4 linked regions of the Drosophila melanogaster genome follow. The gene in region 4 interacts genetically with the main gene of each other region. Each region holds a gene or a part of one and is shown on either strand. Other genes may lie near its edges.

What was found.
Region 1: of tsh (region 4) and Delta, changing one enhances a phenotype caused by changing the other (phenotypic enhancement), as found in Drosophila melanogaster (one study listed by BioGRID).
Region 2: of tsh (region 4) and hng1, changing one suppresses a phenotype caused by changing the other (phenotypic suppression), as found in Drosophila melanogaster (one study listed by BioGRID).
Region 3: of tsh (region 4) and brk, changing one enhances a phenotype caused by changing the other (phenotypic enhancement), as found in Drosophila melanogaster (one study listed by BioGRID).

Annotation. Positions count from the first base shown.
Region 1 is NT_033777.3:19,322,111-19,330,199, reverse strand, and holds the start of Delta (delta), read left to right. Parts: upstream 1-3,982; 5' UTR 3,983-4,661; coding exon 4,662-4,718; intron 4,719-8,089. UniProt on the Drosophila melanogaster protein: Acts as a ligand for Notch (N) receptor. Essential for proper differentiation of ectoderm. Delta is required for the correct separation of neural and epidermal cell lineages.
Region 2 is NT_033778.4:21,166,137-21,172,624, forward strand, and holds hng1 (hinge1), read left to right. Parts: upstream 1-2,793; 5' UTR 2,794-2,860; coding exon 2,861-3,808; 3' UTR 3,809-3,874; downstream 3,875-6,488. Other genes in the region: Isha (insulator su(Hw) mRNA adaptor), read right to left, coding at 594-698, 754-906, 1,036-1,308, 1,460-2,047, 2,296-2,325; LSm1 (uncharacterized protein), read right to left, coding at 3,929-4,102, 4,165-4,349, 4,404-4,458; Xpd (xeroderma pigmentosum D), read left to right, coding at 4,926-4,930, 4,985-5,442, 5,495-5,625, 5,688-5,908, 5,968-6,349, 6,408-6,488.
Region 3 is NC_004354.4:7,304,696-7,313,428, forward strand, and holds brk (brinker), read left to right. Parts: upstream 1-3,243; 5' UTR 3,244-3,777; coding exon 3,778-5,892; 3' UTR 5,893-6,437; downstream 6,438-8,733.
Region 4 is NT_033779.5:21,825,588-21,833,736, forward strand, and holds the start of tsh (teashirt), read left to right. Parts: upstream 1-3,005; 5' UTR 3,006-4,218; coding exon 4,219-4,271; intron 4,272-7,783; coding exon 7,784-8,149. UniProt on the Drosophila melanogaster protein: Homeotic protein that acts downstream of Arm in the Wg cascade during embryogenesis to determine segment identity throughout the entire trunk.

The sequences.
Region 1 (8,089 bases), on a different chromosome or scaffold from region 4:
CGTACACGAAAAGATTGAAAAGCAGCTGTTTTCGAGCTCCCTGGGAAGAGGCTGTGAGTCCTTTTCTGGATAGATATCCCGCAGGATCCTCTAGACCACATCCACATGTACCTGCTGATGAGAGTCTGTGGGAAGCGCACATGTTCGTCCTTCGTTTTATCCTCACGAGAGGCCTCGATACTCGTTTTGGGGTTTCCAGTTTTGTGTTTCCCGATTTCCCGTTTGTGTTTTGCATGAAATCGAATTTTCGTTTGAAGGTTTCCTATTCGGTTCTGTTACATTTGCATCCTGTGTGGGAAAAAACGGATGGGAATTTTTCCCGGACCGCACCTGCCAAGGAAAAGTCGAGATCTTTCATCTGAAATTATGTTTTATTTGGATATGATACAAAATAAATAAAAGAAAGTGATACTCAACATTTTTGGTAAATGGTATTATTTAAACAAAAAAATGGTACAGAAAAGCAAGCCTACTGCAAAAATGAGTTATAAATATATTTTATAGAGGTTTTGATTGATGAATGATTCGAAGATGTCGAGGTTGCAAGTAAGTAATAATGGTAGTAAGTAATACCCCTAAATACTAAATTACATAAACTGGCAAAACTCGCGTTTTCTTCGTTGAAAGATAAAAGGGAAATGTAAGTGTGAATTGCAAGTTTCCAAAGCTTGTTTCATTAAACGAATGTTGTTTGCTTTCATTAATGCTTTCATATCATCAAGAGACCCACACATTCTTGCCTTGTTTATTTTTGAAGCCCTTTCGATAACAAGTTCAGCAATTAAACGACACATGCCACCGGAGAAATATTGGAAACAGGTTGCAATTGATCATTACATCATCCATCTGAACTATAAACAGATCATGAGCGACACACGCTCCACCCGATATGAAGAGCATGTCCCGCCTCCAGATCTTAAAGGCCCCCTCTCGGATCCACCGATTATCACAAGCCACGCGACTAATTTTCAAGTTTTGCAGCCTCCACAGAGGGCCAAGAAAAAAAAAACGCTATCTCTTGGCCAAAAAATATGCATAAAATACGTGTAGATCGGAGGGTAAATGGAGGGGCGGTGCGAGGATGCGCAGAAGAGGCTGCAAAGTGAAAGATGTTGCCTGTCTGGTGGACTTGGCCAAGTACATGACCCCAATTTCTTTGTTGTTGCTGCCTTATTATTCAAACTGCACGGCGCCCTTCGACGGGTTAAGGGACCCGCCGAGCGGCTAACAGGGGGGGGGGGGTTGCAGAAGGGTGCACGCAAAAAGGATGGATGATGTATGTTGCGCTTTCAATTTGGAGCAGCAGGACATCTGTTTTTCGGAGTTGGAGCTCCCAGCTCCACGCGGTTACCTGCCGACAGCCAACCGGTTTACAGGTGCTAACTTGGCTTTAAAAGTCGGGAGGGTGGCTAAAGGGGATCAAGGGGCTAAAGGGGCCTTAAGGGGCTTCGGGGGGTTAAACGGCGCGCTCCGGCGATCGAGAGGCTGCCGTTTGACTTTGCCCCACAGCCTGCAGGTTTTTCTTCTCACTGCTCCTTTTCATTTTTTTCACTTCGCCGTTGCCGTTGTTTGATCATAAATTTGTGTTTAATTTAAAAACTTTTCACTCTTCTCATGGCTTGAAAACTCCCGGTGCGAGTACTTTACTGTCAAATTTATTGCGCGAAATATATGTTTGTTTAAATATTGCCATTACAGTTGGACATCTTTATAGTGAATTGGCTTTGAAGATTAAAGTAATGTCTGCAAAATAAACTACACGAATTTAGAAATAAGAGAGTAAGCTGTAGTTTCTAAAAAGATAATACTTAAACATAGTAACACTTTAAATATTTACTTATTTTTAATAAAAGTCAATGATAAAATACATATAAATACATATTATAAAACTATTATTAAAATATGCCAAACTAAAATTATTATTTTAAAATTAATACTTGTTTCTTTTTTCAAATAATGAAGGAATTGCATATATTTTCTGATCACTTTTAAAGAAACTTCACTGTAAAAGGAATCGCGGCGGGAACTTTATAGTCGGACAGGAGAAATTCGGGGTCTTGGTCCGCATTTCCTTGTAAAATTGGGTGTTGACTTGATTGGTTTCGTTTTCTGGGGTCTCCTGTCTGGTCTCCTCCTGGTCTCATGCATATGCAAATGTCCCTCGTTCGATGCAAATTAATGAAGACCGATTTTTATTGTACAAATTTCAACAACTTTATTTCGCGTGAAGAGAGTTCTGGCCATGTTATTCTCAGCCCTTTGCCTTGCTGACCCATTTATCAGACCATTTCAATGAACTGCTGTTTTCGAGTGATTTACAATGTTTGATCAAAAAATCGAATCAAATTAATCTTGCTCTTTTCGTTAAGTAATTGGATCAATTTTTAACGAAAGTTTGGATCCAGAGACCACCGAAGAATCTAATGATTTGTTAGGAATAATAATAAAATAAATAGGTGTACAGACTTAGCATTTTTACCTTAAGATTTTTACAGAATAGAATGGAAGTACAAATTGGAAAATCAGGCCAGCTATTTAAAATTGTAAAGCCAAAATGAAATCGTAGTAGGCGAACACATCATATTCAATCTATTTTCATAAAAATATTTAGTTTAGCTCGATTCGGCATCGTCGGCAGTCCTATATCAACTAGAAAATATTTGGATTCAAAAAAAAAATTTTATTTTTATTTTTTTTAATATTCGTTGAAAATAAATGCAAGTATTAAAAATTATTACTATTACACAAAATGCTTAGAACAAAATTTATTGATTTTGAAATATTGTTTGGTTATATAGTTATTTATCGTTTATTTCAATAGAGATTCTAGTTCATTTGGTTATTGTGGAGCAAACATATGCAACGCAGTGAAGATGTTATCACAAGATGGTATTTCCGAGCCAATGGATCTTTGAGGCAGAGGCTTGTAAATATTTGTACATTCTGATCATATTTAATGAGATTCCAAACCTTTAGCTAGATGGTATCTTCAGCAATTTCCACCGAGCAGCTTGGACAATTAATATGTAGTTTATGGATCCTCTTTCAATGAATTTAGTATGCCCAAACTCGAAGGAGTTTCACCTCCATAAGAGCGACAGTCCTGGAGAAGTTATCAGAGCCAAAAAAATTCATATGATGATGCATTTTCCGTCTCTGAAAACGTCTTCAGCAGAAGTTGTTTTTAGCGAAGTGAAACTCATTCGATTTTGATCATACTAACGACATTGGATGCTTGGATCGGCAGTTTGGTGGAATATAAATACCAAGACCCTAAGACTGATGACGTACCTGCTAATGAAGATGATGGAGATATACTTGCATGCCAATTCAATAAGTTATAAGCACCCAATATAATAAAATTCAAATATTTATATTAAATACAAATATCCATCTTTAATTTTATTTTTGGTTCTCATCTTGGCAACAATAAATGTTGCTAAGCATTTTGCTTTCAACTTTCGCGTGAGCTGAATCGGTAAATTGAGCGAACCGGGAATCAAATGTTGCTAACGAAATGCTTACAAGCCGGTATCCAACTGGTATCTGAAACTGCTAGCAAAACGGGGAATCAAATGTTGCTAACGTAAACGAATTGAATTGATTTGTTTTATTTTAGATATAAAAATAAAAGTAGAATATCTAGAAATAAAAAATCCGAATTTTGAAGATTATTTAGAGACAATCTTGGAAATTTGTACAAATAAACACCCGTCCGGTTGAAGTTAAACAATATAATAAATTCTTATATCAAAATAAACTTGGTAATGTATATTGAAATTTTAAATAGTTTTTAAAATGTGTAAGTTGACTATTTATTCAAAACGGTTTGTTGCATTGCATCTGCTGAAATGCACTAATTTTGCCACGGAACTCGTTTTGAGAGCGAAAGAGAGAAATGAGAGAGCGAGTACGTTTCGTGGTATTTTTTAGTACGATTCGCGGCGGTGAAGGTGAATAGTGTTTTGGTCGTGGACATGAACGGCATTACGTTTTTCAACTCGGCCGCGCGAATAACTCGAAAAAGGCAGCTCCGCAGCCAAGGCATTTTGAAAAACACAAGTCCCCGACTCGAAACGCGACCAAATATTCGGTGTGTGACGCGAACTGCCAATGCAATAGTTCACTTAAGAATTGCAGATTACCGCGACTCTGGGCAGTTCTCATTCGATATTTGAATGTACCAAAAGAAAAGTGCCAGAACCAGAAATCAAAATAAAAGATCTTCTAACAGAATAACAAGAAGTGTTTCCTCCGAAAGATTAAAAAATCGCGAATGATTAAGAATCGCGGCACCGTTAGTTCCCTCTCTCGCTTTTCCCTTTTGCGCTTTTCTGCGTGAAAAGGAGAAGACTCCGCAGTTCGCGAAAAGAGCTTTTATTTCGCGACACTTAAAAATAAACACAGTCGAGGAAATTGCAACAAAAAATGTGGCGCGTGCACGTGTAGCTTGCAACAACGACAACAAGAAAACAACGAAAATGCTAAAAGCGAATTGCAAAACCATGTGCGACAAGTAACCAAAAAAAAAATTCAAAACATAAACACAATAAACAATTTGAGTAGTTGCCGCACACACACACACACACACACAGCCCGTGGATTATTACACTAAAAGCGACACTCAATCCAAAAAATCAGCAACAAAAACATCAATAAACATGCATTGGATTAAATGTTTATTAACAGCATTCATTTGCTTCACAGTCATCGTGCAGGTGAGTTTCAGTCCCAGGAAAAGCGCTCATTTTCCATCCAACAAGTTGTATTTTTTGGCAATTTATTTTCTTTATTTCTACGCGCACGCGTGCACTCACCGCTGAATTTTGCAGCTGGTGTGTTGTGCGCGCATGTGTGTGTGTGGGGCCAAAAGGGAAGAAACGATTGAAGGGTTGCCAGGTTACTAAATATTTTAAAACTTTTGGGGTTCCGTATGATCATCTCAAAATATCTATTTTGAAACCACTCCAACATCGCGTTTGCTTCCAAACTTATTTTTCAAGCTGGTAACCCGAGAACTTTTGGGTAGAAACAGCTGAGTTGATATTTTAAGCGGGTTGGCTTTTAGGGGTGGAAATTGTGGATCGGATCGTATCACCCTTTTCGGAACATGCATACATATTTCATAGAGCAAAACTAGTTTGGAAACATGCGAGGCCAATGCCCAAACAGGTCCATCCCCAAAAAATGGTTTAATTCTAGTACACAGCGGAAAAATATGAGGCATACGTTAGAAGAAATACCTTCAAGATAATTTTTGACATGCAGATCAGTTCAACTTCTTAGAAATCCTACTATGTGTACTAATTGTTCTCCGTGTAAAAACAGAGATGATCCAAGTCTGCCTCAACGTCAAAATTTACCACCAACGGCGTATGCATCCAGAGCAGCAGCAAAAAATGATAAAACTGCTCGATTTCAATATGAGGCTATATAGTAATGCTGTGCTACAAGCCCATGCTAAAAAGTTGATGATGCTGGGCAACATCTGCCGTTTTCGCCGTCATCTCCTCCTCTGTCCCTCCGCTTTGCATGCGCTTTTTACATGCGATTTTTTTCGGTTTACTTTTCGCTCTGCGTAGGTCAACGCGACACATGCTCAGCCTCACTTGCTCTCCCCTCCTTGCGTTGTTTCTCTTCTGTCATGCTTTCATTGATCTTTAACGCCAGCATCCCCTGGTTACACGGATAAAAAAAAGAGTTGTGCAGGGTTTCCAAACAGTGCGATCTCTAGAAAATAACACTAAATATTTTGTTGTTAATGTGTGGGTTAGTTTCAAAGATAAGAAAATATTAAATTATAATAAATCTTGACCATACATAGTATGTGTACATAGTATACATTTCATAGTTCAGAACTATTTAGCTACGAAGAAATTACAACTTAGATCCACAATATTAAGCTGATAGGGAGCTCTTTATTGATAATAGTACCCATTTACTCACCGTGCACCCTGCATGTGCTCCAATCCTCTACCGCTCTCCGCACTTCTTGATTTTCTCCCAACTTTGGCACGTTGCGTGCTTAAACTTCACTCTTCGACCAGCTTCTTTTTGCAGTCTGCTATTTAGTCGCTAATTTTAACAACGTCCCAAAAAAGTGTCTCGACGCCAACCTCCTGGGGTCTTGGGACTGCTGAAAATGCTCCCCGTATGTAGGCAGAAACATCTGCCCAATAATTCTGACTCATTTCCTTACTTACTTACAGGGAAAGGTGGAATAGTTTAATTTGTCATTTAAAATAATATCTCGGGCAATTAGCTTGCCATTAGCAATGCAATTTAATTCAATTTTCTGCCCATTCTATAAGGTATTATTCTCACAATTTCTTGGCCCTTTCTTGTCCCATGCTGCGTTTAAATTTCAATTTAACTATCAAATAACCGTAGTCGCCTTGTTTTCGCATTTATGCAATTTTCATATTAACATTGAGCGTCGAAGAAGTGAGTGAGTGAGCGAGTGAGTGAATGAATGAATGAATGAATGAAGACTGGGACTCGTGGGGGAGCACTCGTAGTCTTCTCGGCTCTGCTCTTTCTTCGCATAACATAATTAATTGCAATTTAGAAGCCAAAGAGGAAGACGACGACTACTCCCACACAATGCGATGGATGATTCACTTGCGCTTGTAACTGTTTCCCAAGCCCGTTGTTAACGGTTGATTATGATGATGAATTTAAATGATTAATAAACAACATGCAGGGTAGGGGCACCAAAGCAAACACCTGTAGGAAAGTCGAGGAAAAGTCGGGGAAAATTATAATAAAAATGCGTGCTTTCATACATTTTTATGTCCCCTTGTGTTGTTTTAACTTCTTCCCTGCTTTTTTTTCTACAACAACTGTCTGTCAGTCAAGGCAAGTTGACGTGGAAATGGCAAAAAATGAAAAGAAACGAAGAACTAACTAACTAGTCGCTTCAAGCCTCAGTGATCGCAGTAAAAATAGGAGTAGTGGCCAGTAAAGAGAAAGAAAACGAGAAACGGAGACAAAGAATGGCTCAAGCAAAAGGTAAACAATGCAACGCACTATTTTCTAACACTTTAACAAGTGTCTGTCTTCCATTTGAGAGGTTGGCAGCTCCAGCTTTCAAGTTCCACCTGGCGAAACCCCCTCGTAGATCCCCCCCACAAGTTTTACCTTTCGGTTATTCAGCCGCTGTGGAGTTCATAGTTGAAGGCAAAGGCAAACAAAAAGCGGAAGGAGAACCATTACCAGTGTACATATGCCAAAGTTATGAGGCGGATTGTGCAAGGTGTAACTGAGCATTCAACATTTTGGAATTACGATAAAAACAGTCGGAAAAGTTAGATCAAAGAGAAATATATTATATATTTTACGTTATTAGAACGAAAGTTATGTTTTTTAAATGCTAATTCATCATATTATCTACTACTTGTCCCTTTAAGAGCTTGCTAATACTAACCGCATACTTGGAGGGACTTTAAAACAGTGTGAGAAACTATAACCAAAATTGGTGTCAAATGGTGGACAAAACTATTGTGGTTTTAACGATTGCACTTTTTGTTTTGTTTTGCTTGTGCTTCCCACCATCTTTAGAGTGTGTGTGAATGTTTGTTTGGTGTTATGCAAATTGATTTGCTTGTTGTTTTGTCTTGCTTTTTTTGTGTTGTATATGTTGTGTCAACTTCTGCGCCTTTGTTTGTGTGTGCGCTTTTCGTTTGTCCCATTTTGTTGTTTATAGTCTAGTTTAGTTTGGCTTTCCACTGGACACGCCCCCCTGCCCGCCGCCTCCCACCTTTCTAACCTTCCTTCCACTCAATGGTTTTTCTCCCTCTTTCTCTTTCCCTTTTTTATTGTATTTCTTTTATTAATTCAGACGCATCGTTTGGCTTGATTGTCTATTAATTCATTTTGCCTGCTTCTTATTCTGTGCTTTTTTGCGCATATTTATGCTCCTCTTCAAAGCGCCGTTGAAAACAAGTTTTTGCTCTGGGAGAGCCTCGCTCTCGTGCTCTCTCTCTCTCTTTGGAGCAGCTGGCAGCTGCAGCTTGTAAGCTTGCACACACACACCAGCAAACACGCGACTCCAATTCACTTTTAAGTCACGCTTTGCTCTTTTTGCGCT
Region 2 (6,488 bases), on a different chromosome or scaffold from region 4:
CATATTAGGAACTTACCAAACGTTGTTCTAGCATCGGGTAACGAGTTGTTCCGCCGGATATTATGTGGATTTTAAAACCTTACCTTTGGCTTCATTTGCATATTTTTTAAATATTTTACTATTGGTTCGACTTATTCAAATATTGGCAATTGTTTTATAGTTCAAATATATGTTGGGGACATATAGATCGACTTATGAAACTGATTTAGGGTTTGCCCAAAAGCATCATCTTTTGATTTTAAACATTTTTTTTACAACAAAATAAAATTTAATTTTAAATGGATTGGGAATTGAATTGTTTGCATATTCAAGATATATAGTATTAAAGTTATTGATTAAATAGTGCAAGACCACCCCGTTACAACTAGTTGAATCAATTTGGATTCGAACACGCTAATATCCCATCAGCTATAACAACATATTGAACACATTTCCAGGATTAACTGCACGTCAGCACAAGGCAAATAGTATCACCCGTTTTACATCTAATATGTTTATACTTTAGACCAAAATTAATGGCGAAGTCTTGGTGAAAAGCATACACAAGTCGGACCCCAGGAACTAAGATAGATTGGAAAAGTAGAAGGGTATACCTCTATGGTCTGTTGCTCCGATATGAACTCGACATCCTTGTTAAGGTCCATGCTGTCGTTCATGTTCATGCCCATGCCCATGCCCGGCGGCATACCAGCATTTCCCTGAAAGCAAATCATAATGAAAATATGTACATCGTCATGAAATCATAAGATGTACCTTCATTACGTTCTGGAAATGCTGCTGCAGTGCCTCGTCCTGATAGCGATGCTTCTGGTTCTCCTCCTGCGGCTTCAAATTTTGGAAGTTCTGCAGCGTATGGAGCTGCCGCAGCACATTCGGATTGTTTAGCAGCTGCTTGATCTTCTTCTCCTGAAAGAGTTATTTAAAAGGTTATTCAAAATGGGATCGATCTAATGTGAGCAACAAAAGCAACAAATAGAAACTTAAGATAAACAAAACTATCTAAATGAAGAGATGTGTTAATGGGGTTCGCCATACGTCTAACAGGTTTGAAGAAGTGGGCGGTGAGTCGTCGCCCATACAGTGGTGATCATCTGCCATCAGCATCTGCAGGCCTTCATCTTCTTCCTCGATGATCTCCCGCACCTGGTAGTCAATGTCGTGCGAGCTCTTGACATATTCCCGTTTGTGATGATGCGACTTGCTGGTCTTCGACGAGCACGAGACCACCGACTGTCGTTTGGAATAGTGTTGCTCCGAGTAGTGACGCTTGGAGCTGCTGCTGCCACCGCCGAACTTCTCATGGCCCAGCTAGCGATTGGGCGAAGGGCAAAATGGGCGGTTAGTGGGCAAGACATGAGAGACAGAGAAATGTAAATGCAGCAGAATTGTAGACGATGTTAGTTAAGCCATTATCCAATACTAGACACCTGTAGAAGCCTCAACCGAAAGCATCACTTACCGACAAGTCGGGCATGGCACCGCCCATCTTATCGTCGCCCCCGGAGCTGTTCATGCTTATCTCCATTCCGGAGCTGTTTAGACCGTTCGGACCGCTCGATATGTCCGCCAGGCTAAGAGCACCGCTGCTGCTGGGTCCTGGACCCACGCCGCCGCCCTGTCCTCCACTGCCACCCACCGGAGGCATCTGGTGGTAGATTGGGTGGTTTGGGTCGGCCAGGTCGAAGATCGGCTGAATGACCTCGGACTTGAAGACGTTGTTTTTCTGCCACAGGTTCAGTACCCGGATGATGCGACTCTTGTCCTCCGGAGCGCACCGGAACAAGTTGGCAAAGGTCTCCGTGAGATTACGCTGGAATCGGGGCGCGAACAGATCCTTGTCCATACCGTACTGGTGGCGCGACTGGCGCACTATCGAGTCGATTACATACAGCCCGGGTACTTTGTACTCCGGCTTGCACTTCAAGATGAACTTCTCCACACTCTGGACGACGTGCTTATACAGCTTGATGGCCCGCATCGCCGACTTGGTGATGGCGGCCATCTTCGCTTTGGAAATGGGCGGTCGGCTGTCATAGAGTCCGGAGAGCTAAGGAGAAATATAGATGTTACAGTACGGCTATAGTTTACGGATATCTGGGACATGGAGTTATCGTTATCGGGTGCTGGCCAAAAAGCAACCCTGAGCGGTGCTGTTCGGTGCTCTGCCTGCGCCTCCAGCAGGATCTGTATACCTCCCGCACATTGGACAATCCGAATACCGACTTCAAGCGGACATTGTGCAACCACGCCGGCTGCTCCATAACGAACCTCGTTTCTAATGCATCTATAGCTTACCTCATTGTTGAAGGCAACCACGGTTTCCATGTTCAATTGCTTGGTTCACTCACGGCACGCACACACAATATTTAGTTTTGCATACTTTGGTTGGTCAACACAATCGTTTAAAACTGGCGAAAAACAATTTTCTCGACCTTTCTGCGGTTTCCACGGCTTTTAAAAAAACTTTTTACAAAGCGTGAAAAAAATGGCTGCCCTAAAGCCTGAAGCGTTGCCAGACCTGTAAAGTTGACATTTTCAAGGCATTTCTGGAAATTGTGCTGTTAATGGCAGTGTGACCGTATGTGGTGCATAACGTTTCGGTATTAAAAAATTTTCCAAATATTTATAAAAAATAAAACGAAATAGAATTTTCATTATGGAATCCAAAAGTTTCATATAAAAAAATAATGACAACAAAATAAAAATGACCTTAAATAAATTTAAATGAAATCAAATCTTCTTAAATGTACTACCTTTTAAAAATAATCGCTATCGGCGGTGTCGATCTTTTTAGCATTGTGTCGATGACAATACATCTGGCAACACTGGTCAATATTAAACATATATTAAACAAATTAAAATGAGCTCAAACCACCGTCCTCTGGACGATTCGGATATCCTCCTAATACAAACCATCCGCGAGACGCCGTCGCTGTACGATCCCCAGCTGCCCTCCTTTCGGCTGTCGCAGCGCAAAGAGGAGGACTGGGCAAAAGTGGCGGATTTGCTAAACATCTCCATCTCAGACGCTCGGCGACGGTGGACGTGTCTGCGGGATCGCTATTCGCGGGAGCTTAAGCAGAAGCGCCTGCATCCGTCCGGCGAGTTTGGTCACAATGACTTCTTTCGGAAGATGGACTTCCTGCGGGACTTTGTGCGCAAGAGACGCGAGCGCAGAGGACGCGAACGGGATCGGGAACAAAAGCCAACCGGGTGGATGAAGGTTGATTTACAGCGACGGCGTCGTACCCGCCTGCCTATTGACACAGAGACCTTGATCGAGGAGCAAGGTTCGCACGCCTACGATGAGGGCGAGGAGCAACACGACTACGACGCTAAGCTGGAGTCTCATACCACACAATCGGAGACGTATTCGGTGGTCGTGGAGGCGGACGATGGGCAGGAGCCCGAACAGGAGAGCTTCGATGAGTTCCTGGGGGATGCGGAGTGCGAGCAAAAGGTCAAGGTGGTCACAATTCATCCGGAAATCGCTGCTCCGAATGCGACGTCCGCACCTGAGCCTATTGAGTCTAACCACGCGGATCTGAACTACTTGGTCTGTATGCCGCCCAATGCGAATCAGGAGCGAGAGCATTCCGCCCCAGAATTACCCAATCCCACGGCCGTCATCACCCAAAAGACTTGCGAAACAGAGGACGACTTCTTTTGCAAGTCGATTGCCGCGTATTTGCGCCAACTGTCGCGCGTGCACAAGATCAAGGCCAAGGTGGAGATGTACCAGATTCTAGAGAAGTACATACTGCTCGAGGAGTGCGGAAAGGGGTCGGGTGCGGGCGGATCAGGCTAAGCAGGTTGCATGCAATATGTACATAGGTTTTAACATAGTTTTTTAATGCAGTACAAATATACAAAGAGACGAAAATCTTTTGAGCTTAATCTAACTTTGTGCTTAGGAAAAAATGGAGTCTTAGCAGAAGTCCTCGTTGATTATGTTGGCATCTACGGCCAGGCCTCGTTCCTTTAGTGCCTTGGATACTAGGCGGTGTTTCTCCTGCCGCTGCTCCTGTTCCCTACGCTGGGCGTCCAGGATTTCATCGACGGATATCTCTTTGAGTGGCAGTTTCTGCTCCTTTTCACGGTCCTTTTACGCATATTTAAAGGGTGTTAATCAGTCATATTGAAAAAGTATCGAGTAAAGCTTACTATTTCGCCCAGTAGCACCACATTCTCCCCGCGAATGATGAAGACTCCGCGAGGAATGTCGCCGTATTCGTTGCCCACATGTATCCGCTCGATGGTGCGTTGCAGCACCAGGTTGGCGAACTGGTCCACGGACCGCAGGTATCCAATCAGAGTCCGTCCGTCTCTCAAAAGTACCATCAGTTTCTCTGCAATGCGCCGGTTTTCAACGACTGGCCTTCCTTTCATTCGGATTTACTCACTGTCAACCTCTTCCAGGAGGTGAGCCGTGCCCGCCAGCGGATTTAAGTCGTCCATGCTATGAAAATATGTGGGATTTAGATAAATAAATAAACTGAAGCAACTAAACTTTGGTCTAAATTTTAGTATTTAATATTAATGTAACCCTCGCTGAAGGGTTTAAAAAACCACAATGCTCTAGAAAAAAATACTAAAAATATTACTACACTGTTCAACGAAACTTATAAGATATTGCTTACTGAAATTGATGTTTTTAGTTTTAAAATGCATAGATATTAAATAGTTATTATTAATTTTCAAACAGTTAAAAATAAGATTTCTGCTCTAACATCAAATATTTTTACGCTGTTCACAGAGTTACAAAATAAAAAGAAGTTGACCAAAAAAATATCAAAACTTGTACTCAATCCATGCAAATTTTTCACAGCCCCATCGATAACGATGGTACAAATTCTATACCTCGATAGTACCATCGATAGTTTGCCGGCACAGGGAATTGTGAATTATCCCGGAATAGGCGAATAATGAAGTAAGTGGCAGAACGGGATAAATGAAAGTACTCCTTTAACAACCCAGTCCACAGGCTCAGCGTGGACGGCCTGTTGGTGTACTTTCCGTACGAGTACATCTACCCGGAACAATATGCCTACATGCTGGAACTTAAGCGTAGCCTGGACGCCAAGGGCCACTGCCTGTTGGAGATGCCCTCGGGAACGGGCAAGACGGCCACGCTGCTCTCCCTGATCGTTGCCTACATGGTGGAGCATCCGGAAACGGTGCGCAAGCTCATCTACTGCTCGCGTACTGTTCCGGAGATCGAGAAAGTGATCGCCGAGCTGCAGAACCTGATGGTTTACTACGAGCGCCACTGCCCCAATCCACCACCCTTCACCGGTCTGGTGCTCAGCTCTAGGAAGAACATGTGCATCCATCCGGAGGTCAGTAAGGAGCGCGAGGGCAAGGCCGTGGACGGTAAATGTTACGGACTCACTGCCAGCTACATTCGCGAACGGCACGAGATGGACACCGAGACGCCCATTTGTAAGACTATTGTTATCCATATGTAACCATTATTTCAACTGCGAACTTGTAGGCCAGTACTTTGAGGGATTTAGCCTGGAAGGCAAGGAGTCCACATTGCCGGTCGGCGTCTACAGCATCGATGATCTTAAGGAATACGGTCGGTCGCGCAACTGGTGTCCCTACTTTTTGGCTCGCTATGCTGTGAGTTTTTTCGTTTGAAAATTTCAAGACTAGATTTGACTATATCTTGCATTCTTTACCAGATTGCCCATGCTCACATTGTGGTATACAGTTACCACTATCTATTAGATCCGAAAATTGCCCAGGTGGTATCTAAGGAAATGAGCCGCGAGTCCTGTGTGGTCTTTGATGAGGCGCACAACATCGACAACGTTTGCATCGATTCGATGAGTGTGAAGATCAACAGACGCACCGTGGAGCGAAGCACGAATGCTTTGAACCATCTAACTAAACTGGTTCAGGAGTAAGTTGTTCAGGATATGCGACTGGTTTATGGCCAAAAAAAACATTCTTAATCTACAGCATTCGCGAAGAGGACACAAATCGTCTGAACGAGGAGTATCAGCGCATGGTGCAGGGTCTGAAGGATGCCAGTGTGCAGCGCGACACGGACATGATCCTGGCCAATCCGGTCCTGCCAAACGATGTCCTAACCGAGGTGGTGCCCGGAAATATTAGGAACGCCGATCATTTCCTTAGCTTTCTGCGTCGATTCATCGAGTATATAAAGACAAGACTGCGCGTTCATCATGTCGTTCAGGAGTCACCTGCGGGCTTCCTTAAGGATATTTCCTCCAAGATTTGTATAGAGAGAAAGCCTCTGCGTTTTTGTGCTGAGCGCCTGTCCAGTCTGCTGCGCACGCTTGAGATCAGTGATTTGACGGAGTATGGAGCCCTTACACTGGTGAGCTTTCAAATTCCATACAAGGTAAAAGCGATATTAATGCTCTTTCTATTTTCAGATTACACACTTTGCCACCCTGGTGTCCACCTACACAAAGGGCTTCACAATCATTATAGAACCCTTCGACGATAAAACGCCG
Region 3 (8,733 bases), on a different chromosome or scaffold from region 4:
GGCATTTGTGCTTCATCTTCTTGGGGCTCCATCTTGCGATTCTTCAGTCTTCAAGCGCTCGTTCTCCTCTCCTTGCCACATCTCTCTCCTTGTTTCATTTTTAGTCTGTTTGTTTGTGTGGGCTTATTCAAACGCAGACAGCGCGGCGGCAGCGTCGATGAAAAAAAGCAACCTAAGGTTCTTCTACTCCTACCACTCGTCTTCCGTCTCCGCCACCGCCGTCTTCACCTCCATCTCCTGCCCATTCTCGACGAGATTGGAGATCATAAGTGCCCCAGCACGTCGTTCTCCTTCTTTTCCTTTTTCGTCGGCTGCCGCGCCCTTTCCCTTTCCCAATTTTTTTATACTTCTTTTTTTTTTCTTCAACTTTTTAATCAATTCATGGGTATGGGTGGATGTGTGTATAGGTTTCTTCGATTTTTACGTTACCTTTTTATATTCAATTTTTATCTCTTTGCCTTCGTCTTTTCCGCTTCTTTTTTTTTGTTTTGTTTTTGATAAATCGATTTAGAAGCCGACGGGGTCTAAATAAAAAAAAAAGTGGAATTCTTTTGATTTTTCTGTGCCAGTGTGTGTGTTGCTTTTGAACTTTTTGTCGTTTGAATTTTTCGGGCCGAGTGTGTGTGCGTTTTTTCGGCATATTTTTGGGTTGTTTGTGGCCGCTTTACTTGGAAATGCAATTCCAAAATGTATTTCTCTCGCCTTTTTTAAAGGGTTTTATCTTTGGCGTCTTACAGATTTTTTCAAAATTTCTATTAATTTTTAATATTAATATTGTATGATATTTGTTAGTAATATCTATTGTTTTTAAATCTTTTTAGTTGTTGAATTTTAAGTAATTTTTCAATTTATTACTTTGGAACTTAACTTTTTTTTTAGTTTAGTTTAGTTTTTAGGTTTAAGTTCGTTACCGATTTTAGAGCTCCTTTTAAGCCCTTTTTTGTCAGTGCATCGAAGTTTATTTCTCGCTGTTCTTCCCGCTTGTTGTATTTCTTTTTTTTCTTGTGCAGGCGCTTCGCAGGCTCCATCTTGTCTTGCCGTCCCTTTCCAGCTTCCTTGATCTTTCCAGACAGTCCGTCGTCGGCTTTTGATTCGTGGGCACAGTGGGACGGTGGCGGGGGCGGCGGTTTGGGATTGGGTACAGTGGGGCGGGGGCAGCAGAGACGTGGGAATCTGAACCCCAGATATCTATGTATAGTTGTTGCTTTTTTTCTTTTGCTGGTTTTTGTTATTTTTTTTGTAAGAGGTACATAGGTGACTCAAAGATCGCTAGTCCTTTCCCTTTCCCACTTCATCTTACCATACCGCACGCGCAAATTGATGCTCAACAACAACACCATATATTTGATTTGTTTTATGTCATTTTTTCTATTTTTATTTTCATAAATTTGCATACACACGCAAGCGAAGCAGCCCACTGTCTCCGACAAAAAAAAATCACGCACACACAGAACCACACACGCATGCAAATAGCGAAAGAGAGCGAGGTGTCTGCGGCAGTGTGTGTGTGTGTTTCATTCATGAATCCAGATTTTGCCGAGGCAGGAGAACAGAAGAAGCAGAGTAAGCTGGTAACGAAGCAGAGGCAGCATTTCGGTTTGTCATTTGCAACAAGTGCGGAGAGGTTCTCTTGTACACATATTGTTGCTGCACTTATTGCATGCCCTTTTAGTTCTTTTTCGTTGCATTGTTTTATTTTTTCAATTTTTCTAAGCTTAGACAGAACGGCGGCAACGTCGACAGAAATAAGCTAAAGCTATATGGTATATATGCACCCACGGCCATAACAACGAGTAAAAAAAAAACCAAGATAGTTGGAAACCTCTGTGTTCGTCTGGCTCTATGTGTGTGTAAAAATATAAAAAATGCAGCAATGCATTCAACAGTTGATTCAAGAGAGAGCAAAAGGAAGAGAGAGAGCGGGCGGTTTGGTTGGCGAGAGAGCGGCGCTCAACAAGTTCGTTCGACGATCTGTTGCGCGGTTTCTACGGATGTGTGTGTGTATGCTGACGGGGGACGTGGGCACAGGGGTGTGGGTCAAAAGGGGTGGGGGGCTCTGGCCGATGTGGAAGGGGTATGGGGGAGGGCGGCGTGTGGAGTGGCAGTGCCAGAATGTCTGGCAGCCACGACTCTGGCGCACACACGCACACCATTCAAAGGTGCCTTTTGCACACGTGTGTGTGCGTGTGTGTATCTGTATGAGCAACTGGCAGAGCCAGCGAATTTGTAGCGCAGCCAGAAACAACAACACAACGCAACACGGCAACAGCAACCGCAGCCGCTAACAAACTGTGCTGCGACACAGTGGCACAAAAAGCTGCCAGCAAAGGGTTAAGTGTGGGCCTACTAATACATGTAAAAAACTAATTTTTGTAAACAGAATTTAAAAATGGTTTCCAAGTAGTGCGAACATTTGTCGACTTTGGGTTTATGTTTAAAACAATAATCTGTTGTTGGCAGATAGCTAACAATGTTTTAGAGATAGAAGAATTTGAAACGCGTTTCACTTATTGACTCGATGGCCTATAAATTGATAAAGGGTTTTTTAATTATTAAAGAAGAAGAAAATGTGTTATATTATCTCGCTGTTAAAAATGTTATCTTTTGATTTGTTCTATTCCATGTTTTTAGGTATCATATAATATTTTTTTTATTTTTTATATAAAAAAAAGCCATACGAATTGGTCCCACTGTGCGGTTCGCGGTGTTTGTCAGTTAGTCAGTCAGTCGGGTGACTGTGGCAATCGAAAAGAGTGGACAAAGACTGTGGCGCACAGGGACGGGGGAATGGGTTGCTCCGTCCCATGTTGTCCATTCGGTCCCACCGTGCACACAACTCAGCACAGCACGGCACAGCAGCAACAAAAGCGCCGCAAAAGGGAACTGGTATTATGGCATCCCGCTCGCACTTGCACTCCAAGCACGCACACATGCAAGCGCAGACACCTCGCGACACGATTGTCGTCAGTTTGTCTGCAATGCTCAGCTTCAGCGCCATGCGCTCTCTCTCTGTTGCTCGCTCTCTAGCTCCCCCTCTCACTCTCTCTCCCACTGCTGCACGCACACGAACACCCACACGAACAGCAGCAACAACAACAGCAGCGCACAGCAGACAGGCAGGCACTTTACGCCTGTGTGCGTGAGCATTTCAGAGTGAACCGCAGTCGACGGCGGCGCCGGCAGCGACGCCGGCCGAGGCGAGGCAGTCTAGAACGTATCTTCGAACTAGAACGCCGAGGGCAGAACAATTGTGTTTTGGATTCCTTGCCGTGCGGATCGCAAACGCGAGTTATGAGAAGAGCGTAGTAAAACGTACGAGAAGTAGCTAACAAGAAAAGGAAAAGAGCAGAAGAAGCAACAGCACGCAGACATATATTTTTTTTAACTGTGTTTTATTTATCCGATCTATACCAATCGAAATATACACAACTATATAGATTTGAAACGGATTTTGAAAAGTGCTTTCAAATAAACTCCAAAAAGTATCAGAGCGAGTGTGTGCCAGTGTGTGTATGTGAGACGCGTCGCAGTCGACGTCGCTGCTTTGGGGACAGAGCTGCCAGATCGCGAGTTATGAAAGCGCAAGCGTCGCACGCAAGTAGCAACAACAGCTACAACAAAAGCACCTAAAACTTACTACCTACTACTACTGCAAAACACACTTGTTTGACTATTATTTCGCTACATTAAAATCAACAAAAATACACACAAAACTGACCAGAATCTTGGGAAAATAAAAACAATCTTTAAAGAACGCCACGAAAATAAACCATAATCATGGATAGCAGCAGCGAACAGTTGAACGGATCGGGAGCTTTGAATTTCAAGCGGCCCAAGGATTCTTCGGAGAATGCCACAAACAGCCACACAAATAATGGCAATTCTTCGGGCAGCCCCAAAATGGGAAGTCGTCGGATTTTCACGCCCCACTTTAAGCTGCAAGTCCTCGAATCATACAGGAATGATAATGATTGCAAGGGCAATCAACGGGCCACGGCCAGGAAATACAACATTCACCGCCGGCAAATCCAAAAATGGTTGCAATGCGAGTCAAATTTGCGATCATCGGTGGCCAACAATCAGCAACAGCAGCAGCAGCAGCAACAGCAACAGCAGCAACAACAGCAGCAGCAGCAACTACTCCCACAGCAATCGGTATCGCCGACACCGGCGGTCAAGGTGTTCCATCAGCTGAGCCATCCGCTGGTGCACCAGTTGCATCACCATCACGCCGCCGCGGTGGGTCATCATCATCATCATGCCGCCCACCATCATGCCGCCCATCATCATCACGCTGCAGCAGCAGCGGCGGCAGCAGCAGCGGCAGCAGCAGCAGCAGCAGCCCACCATCATGCCGCCCACCATTTGCTGGCAGCCAATGGCATGGTTCCACACCCCCTGGCCGCCCATCCCCACTTGCATGTCCCGGTGGCAATGCATCCTCAAATGCAGCATCAGAAGGAGCAACAGCAGCAGCAGCAGCAGTTGCAGCAGGAGCAGCAGCAACAGGATCAGCAGCAGTCACAGCAGGAGACACCTGCAACCATTGCTACCAATGGCAGCAATCAGGGATCCTCGAATGTCCTTTCGGCGGCCAAAATAGCCGCTGTTGTTGCCGCCGCCATGGCCACCAGCAATGGCAATCCCACACCGACAGCAACAATCCCCGCCAGCAGCAGCAGCAGCAGCAACACATTGCCGAGCAGCAATAACAGTAGTTGCCACAACAGCAGCAGCAGCAGCAATAGCTGCAACAGCAACCAAGTGCCAATACAAGTGCCAATCCTGAGCGGATCCCCTGGGTCCACATCGTCAGCCAGTCACATTCCACATGTGCCCTTTGCCTACCATCACAATCTGCATGGCTATTTGGAGAATCGACTGGAGGCGGTTGCCACACCAGCCCCCATGGACCTCTCTCTCGGATCCTCTGCCCGCCGTCAAATGCAGTTGCACGAAAAGGATCCATCTGGTGTGGATCTCACTTTCCGCAAACGTAAGGTCATCACTAGTCCGATGCAGCCGGATAAGATTAGTAAGCTGGAGGAGGTGATCAAGAAGGAGCCCGAAACGGAAACGGAGAACGAGGATGTGGAGGTGGACGTGGAGACGGAGCAGCCGGAGGAGCACAAGCTGCCCTCTAAACAGGTCAAGCTATTTAAGCCCTATTTGCTGGACGATGATGAGGAGCAGGATCATCATCATCATCACCATCACCATCGGCAGGAGGATTTGGATGAGGGAGCTGCCGAGGAGGAGCAGGACGACGAGGAAGAGTCCCGCTATGCCGACGATGATGAGGTGGACTCCAAGGAGGCGGCCGACAAGAAACAGCGTCGCCTCAAGAAAAAGCCATCGGCAATCAACGAACAAAGGGAACCCATCATCTGGAGCAACCATCCGTATCCCGGTGGCTGTGTATCGCCCGGCAGTTCGATCACCAGCAGCTTTCAGTGCCCCACCAGTATGCAACAGCAGCAGACATTTCCCGTCGCCGGCGGGAGTCCTAATCAGCAATTTCAGGACAACTGCAGCTCCAGCAAAGCCACCACGCCCCTCAGCCCATTCTCGGCGCCCGCCCTCTCGCCCACCGGCTTCTGTTGCCCCAAAGGATCGCCCGTTTCCGGTTACGAGAGCAGCTCATCCACCTACAGCGACAGCGGCAGCAACTACAGCCTCAATCTCCAGCTGCATGCCGTCTACAACGACAATCTGATGTACATGCAACAGCAGCAGCAGCAGCAGCAACAGCAGCATCACCTGCAACATCAGCAGCACCTGCAGCGCTGGCTGGATCAGGAGTCCTTGGCCACTGCGAGGACATCATCCGTCAACCGACCACTGATTCTCGTGGCGGATACTGCGCCCACAAACCTGACCCTGGTGGCCTAAGAACACACACACACACACACACACACACACACACAACAAACAACACACACAATAGAAACTAAGGAAGCAGCAATCCCACCAATCGGATGTTATAATGGCAGTCACTGGGCCTGGCCTTTTAGTTCCCTAAGCCATATTTAAGCTTAATAACGTTTTTTTTAGCCCTACCACCTAAGTTTACCTTAATAAAAAATTGTATATCTAAGCGCAAACATATATCTTCCAAGCATATCAGCAAAAAAAACCCCAAACCCTAGGTATAAACCCTTCTTTTTTTTTTGGTTACACACTAAGAACAAATTAAGCTTAAGTTCAGATTTTTCTTTTTTTTTTTCTTGTATTAGCTTGTGTAAATAATTGTGTACAAAAAGTGAAACAAGGCGAAACAATTGAATTTGCTTAAGAATTTCAACGCTTCATTTCATTTGTATAACTTGTGGGAGAGTATTTTAAGAGAGAAAATGTGAAAAATGCAACTGGAAAAACTGAGAAAATTGTTAAGAGTAAAGCTTTAAAAACGAAACAAATACACACCTTTACAATACACACTTTTTTTATTTGGAAATTGAAAATTGAAAATTCTTGTGATATGACAACAACAAAACAAAATTTTAATAAAATTGTTGAAAACTGAAGCTTATTGAATATACAGCTATATTATACATAAATATATATTTACAAACACAAAAGAGAGCAAGAAATTTAACGTAATATTAAGGGTTACATTTAAAAGTTAATTATAATGATATACAATATACATATATACAATATATTTATATACAAACAAGAGGAGAACGTTTTTTTTTTTTTTTCATTGCCAAGGGAAATATTAAATGCGCCTATACATAGAGAAAGAGATATATATATCTAAATGTATGTATATATATAAAATCAGTATTTTTATATATTACATTTGACAACAACAATAATAATAATAATAATTGTGTGACCATACAACAAACAAACAACAAAATCAAAAGGAAAACGAATTGATTAAATTAACAACAGAAAACTAAAAAAACTTTAAATTAAACTGGTTTTATCATTGCATTTGCGTTGGGTTTCGAATGAAGTCATTGCTTTTCAGATGACTGCAAATATTTCAGGGATCTATCTATAAGATCTTTTTTGGTTTCTGGGTTCAAAAAAAAAAAAAATCAATATCAATACACCCCCGCCGCATCAATTGGGATAATCTAGATTCGAGAAAAATCGACCTGCCTTTAGCTCCGCAATTCTTCTTAGCTGTCAGTGTGAGGTTAAGGCCCCATTTATAGAACCGATCGCCGTTTGATCTTTGCGATCATACCGAATGTGCCATTCAAATGTGTGTGCGTTATTTGCGTGCCTCATTGTGACAACTCATGGGTTGTCAGTCAGTCAGTCAGTCAGTCACTCAAGTCAGGGCATAGCTTAAGGCTTTGGGGCTTTCCATTTCGAGTGCCTGTGCCACGCCCCCTGCCCCCCCCCCCCCCCATCCCCTACGCACAGACTAGACCACCCACCGCCCTCCGCGAGCTACTCGGTTTCTGGTCAAATTCGCTTGGCACATTTCAACGGCGGGGTATGACTAAGCCGCAAATTCTATAATGATCGTATTTTTAAAACGTTTAAAAATAAAGTGCTCTCGTTTGCCAATGTGTGCGCCAATCACGAGCCCCGAGCCGCAGCATTCAGCACCACTGCGATCCACAGCCACATCCACATCAGCATTAGCATCAGCATCAGCATCAGCACCACCGCAACTGCCACAGACGGCAGCTATCGTATCGTATCGTATCGGATCGGATCGGATTGGATCGGTTTGGGGGATCGGTTCTTGAGACAGAGCGGCATACTCATTGTTTTTCACTTGACGCGCTTTCCCTTCTGCAGAGCAAAAGGCAAATCCGAGCGATCGCTGCCAAAGAATTTTTGCGACATTTGCGGACAAAATAGACCCCACGGGATACCCACTAGTCATGCACAAGGCGAAAAATATTCCACTACTTTATGAAAAGTAATATTCATAGACACTAGCTGCCATTAAATGAACAAGGTATACTCTCTTGTATACCATAATGTTCTTATCACTTAGCCAACATTTGTTGCATCGCATTTTTTTTTCTCTGTGTACAAAAGGGTGGAGACTGTGCTGGCAGATCGGAACTGTTGGCATCTATGCGATTTGATCGTTCAGGTGATCGTTCCCACGTAGTCAAGTCCAACTAGGGACGTAGTTAAGTGGAAGGGATGAGGAACAAAAGAAATAGGAACGGGGAATCAATTCGGGAGGAGTGGACAACAGCTAGATCAACACAAAAGTCAAAAGAACACAACGAAATGGAACACTAAATCAGATTAGGAAGTACCAACAGTACCAAAGTTTACTTAGTCTATAACAGTACAGTTATATAATCTTTAATCTATGAAAGATAAGAGGTGTTCAAGAAGTTGAAACTAGAAACTATGGAGAAGAATCAATGGAAAAGATCAGAAACGCAAGGATGAGAACCAATAACCACAAATAGGACCACCAAACAAACTATGGTAAGGTACGACGAAAATGGCTAAGATCAGGGGCCAGAATCCCCAAGAGGAGCGTACATATGTACGTATGTATGTATGTCGAGGTGGGGTCCATTGGTACCGGGAAACTGTGGGAGGAGCGACCGCAGATGATTGCTAAATTTCAATTTATTTTCGTGCTATTTTCTTCGAACCGCGTTGCCCCGTGTAAACTTTTGCTCGCTTTTCTTTTACCATCCAAAAATATGTGGTTTTTGTTGCTGCCTTTAATGCCACGTGACAAATTTCGATCGTTCGGACGTAACAAAAAAAAAAAAAATATATATATATATA
Region 4 (8,149 bases):
AGAAAAATGCATAGGAAGCACATACTGCAGGACATTCTGCGTGACAATAGTCTCGAATGCTGTTGTAGCTTTAGTGAATTCGAATTCCACATAATAATTTATCAAACGAATTTTAATGATCGAAAGCATAAAAAATTAATGGGGCGCAGCAAAATCAATAGATGACCCATCGCGAAGAGATCTCTCTCACAGTGAAGGCAGGAGAAAGAATATTTAATAAAAATTCCCAAATCAAATTATAGAATCGTAAAAGTATTTATTACCACGGAGACCAAGAGGACTCAGATGGGGATGATACTGGAGCCCCAAAAGCAATGCTCCCGCCCCAGCACCTCTTCTTTAGGTTTGAGTGGATCCACGTGATTTGATTATTATCGGTTAATTGGTGGATCGTTAAATCTTTTACGATTCGTTTCTCAGCCTTTAACGGAGCCCGTTCTGGGAGCAACAAGTGCAGCGAGGATTCCCATTGGATGAAGACTCAGTAAACAATAAAAACAGCGGCAAAAGCAGAAAAAAACGAGCGAGTTTTTCGCCATTTTCGAGTTTTATGGCTCCACCAGGCATTCGTCAAATATTGGTAGATTTTAAGTTCGGATTTTGATAGTGTGGGTTTTTCGTCCACTAATGAAACTTACGCGCAAATATGCAAACCAAATCATCATGTCATCATTAAATCAAAGAATAGAATGAACACCCTTTATAATAGGAGTCATATGTCGAAACAAAAATTGGTATGGTTAAATATTGTATATGCAAAACGAAATTTAATTAGCCTCAAGGAATTTAATTGCATACCAAAGTTATAAATATCGATAAAAACTGGCAAAAAATTAAAGAGATATTATTTGTACATATGTATGTATGTATGTACATGTACTTTACACTAACGCATGTCTCCCTTATTGTGATGCTAACTTCTGACTTAAATCAATATACAGCTGTGTTCATAAAAAATAGCAGTGCTTTGCACCTGCGAGTTTAATATAGAAAAATCCTATGATTTACAGTTTTGATGGGCTTTTTTTTATAATATCATTAGGTATTTAATTTCCAACAATTCAACAAAAATTTCACACTTATTTCTTTAATAGTTTTCTAAAATATAGATCAAAACAACATAATAGGCAGATATTCTGGTGTTCACTGAAAGAGCAGTGCAATAAAAAAATATTAACAAAATTCAATTTGACTTAAAACTAACAGTTTTTCTTATTAATGTGTTGGATAGCCTCTGTTAGCCACCACCTACGCGGCTTGGAGTCCACCAGGTCCTGGCAACGTTTGGGGGGAATTTTTGCCAATGCATCCTGCACAACTTGCCAAATCTGAGCCTTAGACGTCGGGGAATTATTCGTCACATATTGTATAATGTCCCCCCACAGGTTTTCAATCGGGATTAAATCGGAAGATGGTGCTTGCCACGGCATTGCATCTATTCTATTTTGGGTGAACCTTTTCTTAACCGATTTGCTTCTGCCATTCGGATCATTATTCTGTTGGAATTTCCATTTTAAGGGCATATTATAATAAGAATATGACAGTAAGACATCCCTTAGTATATTTACACATGCGTTTTGGTCTATAATACCATAAATCATATGTTATGGACTCATACCATTGTAAAAAATAAACAAGCCCATACCAGTATTGCAGGTCCACCGTGATTGAAAGTCTTCAGTGGGTGTTTTGGGTGGTACTCGGTGTTTGGAGGTCGTCAGATATAACCATATGAACCAGTTCCACCAAATAGCACTATTTTTAACACATCAGTCCAGGGGATATTACGCCATTTGGAGACTGGCCAGTTTAGGTGGGTTTTAGCGAAGTTTAACCTTGGCTTAAAATGCCTTGGGCTAAGTAGGGGCACCTTTCGTGGACTCCTCGCAACTAAATTTTGATTCAGTAGTCGTCTCCGTAAATATGCATAGGAATCAAGGCAATGCTCGGTTACCGGTTGATAATTTTATAGAATAATGTATATAATGTTTTATAATGTAATGTATTATAATGTATCGAAAGTTACTATTTTATACGTTTGTCAATTTATGTGAAAAAGTACATGCAATATATAAACTTAAGGTAACCAGGGTCGGCACAAAGAAAAATATTGTAGATGCACTTATTAGACGTGATCTTGAGTATTAATGATACTAGTATTTAAATAGTATTCAATGCTGTCATCTTTTAGACTGTATAAAGGCACTTATTAAACCAAATTTGTACTTCATTCGGCTTTATACTTTCATATGTACATCAATGTTCTTACACAGCCTTACATTCACGCATTCACAAACATTGACACCTTGCCATGAAAACTAATAAAATCGCGGCATTTTGGCACATTTTCAGAGGAAAGAACGGCCGGAGTGTCGCTAATTCAATTGTTTTCGCAGCCAAAAAGAAAAGTGGAATGGGTTGATTTCAAGTGAAAATTGCCCCAAACCACTTTTCCACTTTTTCACTCTCCTACTCGCTCGCACAGCAATGCAACGAAACAAAAGAAGCGAGATCCACGAAGAAGCTGCAGAAAGGCGAACAAAAGTTGACAGCAGAGGGTATGAAGGAAGGTGAGCGAGAGGGAAGAGGCTAAAAGTGACGAGGGCGAAAAGCTCAGAGAGCAACAACTACTGTTTATTTTGAAAAGAAATAAAAACAGAGCAGGGACCGACACAGTTTGAGTGGCTGCGAGCAGGACGGCGCATGCGAGTGAGAGCATTTTTGTTAAACTGTCATAAATCTTAATTGTGATGGAATCGGATTCGGAATAGGACAAAAGAAGGGTGACGAAACGACAAAACAGATTTCACACACTTTCGGAGCAAGCGAGACGGAGCGGTCCCACAACGCTATCTCTTTCCCTAGCGATTTCCCCTGTTTCAGTTCCAAGCGTTCACTTGCCAGCACAGGGGAAAGTCTGCGCTCTTGTCGCTCTCTCTCTCTCTTCTCTCTCGCGCTCTCTTTTGGCTACCCATCGGTTTCGGGTTCTTTTCGCCAAGAGTCAGTCAGTCGACAAGAAACCGTTACTGCGTACGATCGTGCGAAAAAGCTCGGCGCACTTGGAAAAATCGTACGGTAATTAGTTAGCCGAGTGCCGGCGAGTGCGAGCGAGAGAGTAGCACATTTAATCACGCTGACAGCCAGCTTGTCCTGCAAGGGTGTGGGTGGCACACACGGCACACACAACACACACACAAGTGCGCAGCCGTCGCCAGAACGCAAAATCGAATCAGAAATTGCCGTCGCCAAAACGCGGGCTTCGTGTTTGCTCGTCAACAGCAGCGCAGCTTCCAATCGCTGCGCGTCCGTCGCGTCGCTTCATTTTTTCATCCGTATCAATCAGTGAAGGCAGAGCAGCAGCGCCCCGTTGTTGTTGTTTGTCAGCTTGACAGCGACGGCAGCGCAGCAGCAGCGCACCGGCAGAGCACCGCAGCAGAGGCTAGTGACGAAGGAACCCGGCCAGCGGGATTCAATCGCCTTTGGACTTTCGTTCGAGTAGTGACGACGAATCCGGATGAGAAGACGCACGCATCGCGACCCGCGGTTCCGCCAGAACAGTGAATTCTCAGTTTAAAACGCGTTTTTGGGGGAGGATAGAACGAGTGTTTTCCAGGCCGCCATCATATCTAGTCAAAGAAGCAGAGGTTTGATACTCTCGAACGCAAATGCTCGATCAAGACTGAAACATACGAGAAACATACAACTACAAATGGTTCAACAAAGTATACGTAAAACTACCACAAGCTAAACAAAATATACCACAAAAATATATTTATTACCAAAACTAAAGATAAACTATTGCAAATATTTACATTAAACGGTATTTAATTCACCAAAATTACACTACATACATAATGTAAAGCCAGTTACTTAAATCAACAAACCTTAACGAAGTATACGATTCAATGCAATTAATAAATTAAATTTAAATCAACACAAATTAGGAATTAAAAATACAAACGCCTCGAAACGTCATTTTTTGTCTGACATACGAAAGTTTATAAATTACAAAATCCAAAAAATATAAATTAATCAGTTATACGCTGCAACAACAACAAGTTATACTACAACGTACCAAGTGCAAAACAATAGATTATATGATCATTGTGTCAAACTAAAGTTAAGTTCCAAAATCCAACTAAAATCCTCGTTGTTTGCTCCAAAAAGAGCAAACCATCCAAGTTCCAGCAAACCGTCAAAATTCAGCAAAATTTAAAAATGTTACACGAGGCTCTGATGCTCGAGATCTACAGACAGGCGCTAAATGCCGGGTAAGTGTTATATGGAAGATTATTTCCATAGAACAGTGAAAGATGTAGAATTAAGAAAAAGATTCACATGGCCTTATTCGGGGGATTCAAAAATGTGACTACTCTGGGTATGAAGGATAAACGAACTGAGATTTTACTACCAAAGTGCATCAAAGTGTTTTTCATTATGAAATAGTGAAATATTGAATTCTTAACTAAAAGTGGCCATACTCAAAATATTCACATATAAAATAATTACATTCATCTCATTCAGTTAATATTATTTTTTTGCAATTGCTTTTTATGTGCGTTCAAGTATCTGGTTAAATAGAATATTATATATACCAAGTATATACGACATATATTGAATATAGAACGTTTTCAATCAAAATCAAAAACCATTGTCATTGTGAACTGATAGCCGAACTTGTTGAAATAGTATTGCAGACTCTCAACCACAAATCGGCCAAATAAATATATCAAGAAACTATGATTTCATGGCATTTGATGATTGGCATTGGCGGTTCGGCGTAGTCGCACACCTGTCGTTATAAATTCAGCGCCTCGCCAATAGCGCGCCCATATATCACAACACCCACCCGCAGAACCAAGAGTACTGAGTTCACGACTACGAGTCCAGACCCTCGGATCGGGAAAAGCAGAACTTGATTTGAAAAGGGTGGCTGGCAGGGGAAATCCGAAAATAACAGAAAAATCGCCATAGTTCGATGATGGGATACTAACTTGGGGTAAGCGTTTGTGTATCTGTATCTGGGTTTCTCTGAAATTATGATTAAACAAGTTCAAGATATTTTTCGAACTCGCTCTCGAACAGTCACTCGAGTGAGCCTGAGTCTGAGCAAATTAACTGAAGGCTAAAAACGGGTTTTATGACACTATATTTGCGGGGGCGAGGGTATTCGGGGGTGCATCTGGAGTATTAATAATAAAGTGCGACAAATTGTCTCGCTCTCGTTTGATTTGCATGCAGATACACACGAATTTTCAAGATTTTCCAAGGCGATGACGTAGTCGAATTGAATAAATCATGCGAAAAAGTGAAAAACTCAAAATACGCTACGCTCTGCTTGCCATCTTTTCCATTCTCCACCCCCTCCAATTTCCCCGTGTGCGCCTATTACCGGAGAGATTTATGTTCACAATTTGCCGCTGGCGTGTGCGTGTGCGTGTGGCTGTATCTCCGGGTGCATGTGTATGTTTAGTAATATTTACTCTGCTACCTTAACGGATTTGTCGTGCCTTAGATTTGCTTTAACAGGGACAGTGTGTTGTATTCGGCACAAATAGATATACTGTTATTAATAACCTTCATTTCGCAGTATATAGTAAAAATATACTAGGGAATAAACATTTTAAACAATAATTCTACTATAAAAAAATTCAGATCGGTCAACTCATATTTATTTATATTCTCACCTGAGGTCCAACCAACTCTCCCATATCACACCAATGGGTGTACTCCCACTATTTTAGTTAGCCTGAGCGTTACGGGTGCATATCAATATGCAACTCTCTCGATTATTAATGAGACATTTCAACTTGTAATTAACTGCACTTGCTGGAGTTGCGTATAAATCATTTTGATTTAAGCCTAATCGAATAACGAGATTTCAGATTATGATATGCTGGCGGAGAAAACTCGTTGCCAAGTATTTTATACTAGTCAAGCAAAATAATGGAGAAACGAGCCGCTAAATGGGTTGTTTGCGGGCTCAATCGCCCCTTGCAATCTGGATAGCTAATTAGCGGTGAGTGATTGCGCGGTGTGTGTAATAACTATCTTTGATAAACTGTCACCTGGCAGGTGACTGAGTTCAAAATAAGCTGCACATGAATCAGATTTTGTTCCGACGTTCCTTAAGATATCATCAATATTGCGCTAGGCCGGATTTGTTAGTAAACAATCCATCAATTAAACACTGACTTTCTGATAGGGCCCAGTGACAAAACTCCTCCGAATCAAACAACTTAATGCCGGTTAAGAATTTCATTTTTCGGTGAACGATCGCTCGTCACACAATAGCACATGACAATTACTTGATATTCGACGCTTCGACCAACTTAGGCAGATTTTACAGGCTGATTTTCACGTTCAAATATTGATTAAGTTTGGTTATTTCCGTCCGTTTCAAATGCAAACCCAATCAGCAAAGCACAATGCGCACCCACACACAAATACAAAGTTATTATATAGAGCTATCATCAAAAATTTATAACCTTTGCATATACTTCAAAGTTAATCAGACAATCATTCAAAATAAGCTAAACGGAATCCGCTGAATTATGTTTCTGTGAAATATTTTCTAAGCAAACAATCGGTGCTATAAAAATTATAAGTGGTTTTGATTTGAATGTTACACACTTGAACAAATGTAGGAAATAAAGTTTAAAGATTCGGTTTCTCTGATGGCAAATTATTTTCCTTATTCTTTTTTTTGTTTTCTCTGCTATGAGGGCAATAAAATTTGTTTATTCCATCTCTATTTATGCACATTTTTCAACAGCCCAATTAATTTATTCAAACCATGAGGAATTTGTGGTCGGTCAGCCAAACGATAATTGCCTCCAAGTTTGTCAAATACTTGAATCTCTTCTCGGATTCCGATTTTTGATTATGATCGGCATTGCTCATAACGCACGCCTAAAGTCTCGAATTAATCGCCATTGTTTCATTTGGATTTTTACTACCCATGTTGGAGGGGGGTGTGTGTGTGTTGCCGACTAAAACACATCTGCGTGCGCAAGAGTTTTATTTTTTCTATTCGGGTTTGCCTTATGGCGCTCAGAAATTTGAATAACAAATCGAAATGTTGACATATGTTTGCCATTGATGGCATTGTAGGTTCCCCTTGCCGGCGAATGATTTAGCACAGAGCGAAGCCAAATAAATAGTAAACCGCACTATAACGATTTCCAATGCTTTTGATTGCTTATCTACCGGTCTCATCCGGAGAAATGTTTGGCCTGCGAAAGTCAAAGGCGGTTGGCGAAAAGGGGCGAGATAGCTCTGTCGTTTAAATTGTTTTCTAATTCAGATATTCAGAGGTGATAGATTGCTGATTAGGTCTAAACGATTAGCTTAATTGTCTGAATGCGGCGAATGCGAATAATAAAATGAAAAGTAAAACCCCCTATTGATGCGTTACACGTTCGTTTTTTTTTTCGTTCGATGGCTATTCTTCTGTTTGGTATTATTCCCCCCATCAGTAATTTCATTTTGAATTCCATATTAATCAATACTTCCTATAGTGCAACAAATATCATGCCACTTACTGCAATAATAAGCATCTATTGTTCTTAGGAGTTCTTATGTTGGCATAATCAATCCTGGGTGCGCGGACTTAGATCCGTACTATAGTCTTAAGCTTTTATTTAAGCAATTGCTATTGCAATATTGAGTTATTGCAACTTATTTGAGTTATTTATTTTGAGTTATATTTTTAAAGTAAAATTTAATAACTGAACTTCAAATTAATTATTAAAATCATTAATCACCATTATTTTATTTGCAGAGCTCTGCCCACAGCTCGACCACGTTCCACTGAGTCGGCGAATTCCAGCGAGCGGTGTCCGTCACACGACTCAAACTCCTCGGAACATGGTGGTGGTGCTGGCAGCGGCGGAGTAGGTCATCGGTTGGACGCAGCCGCTCTATCAACCGGGGTGATGCCCGGAGAAGGGCCCACCACTCTGCACTCATCATTTCCAGCAGTTCCGCAGTCCCTGCCCTCCCAGCCGCCCTCAATGGAGGCGTACCTGCACATGGTGGCAGCAGCCGCTCAGCAGTATGGATTCCCTTTGGCCGCTGCTGCAGCGGCTGGGGCGGGTCCACGGCTGCCACTCCCACTCGCTAATGAGGCGGCGGCTCCATTTAAGCT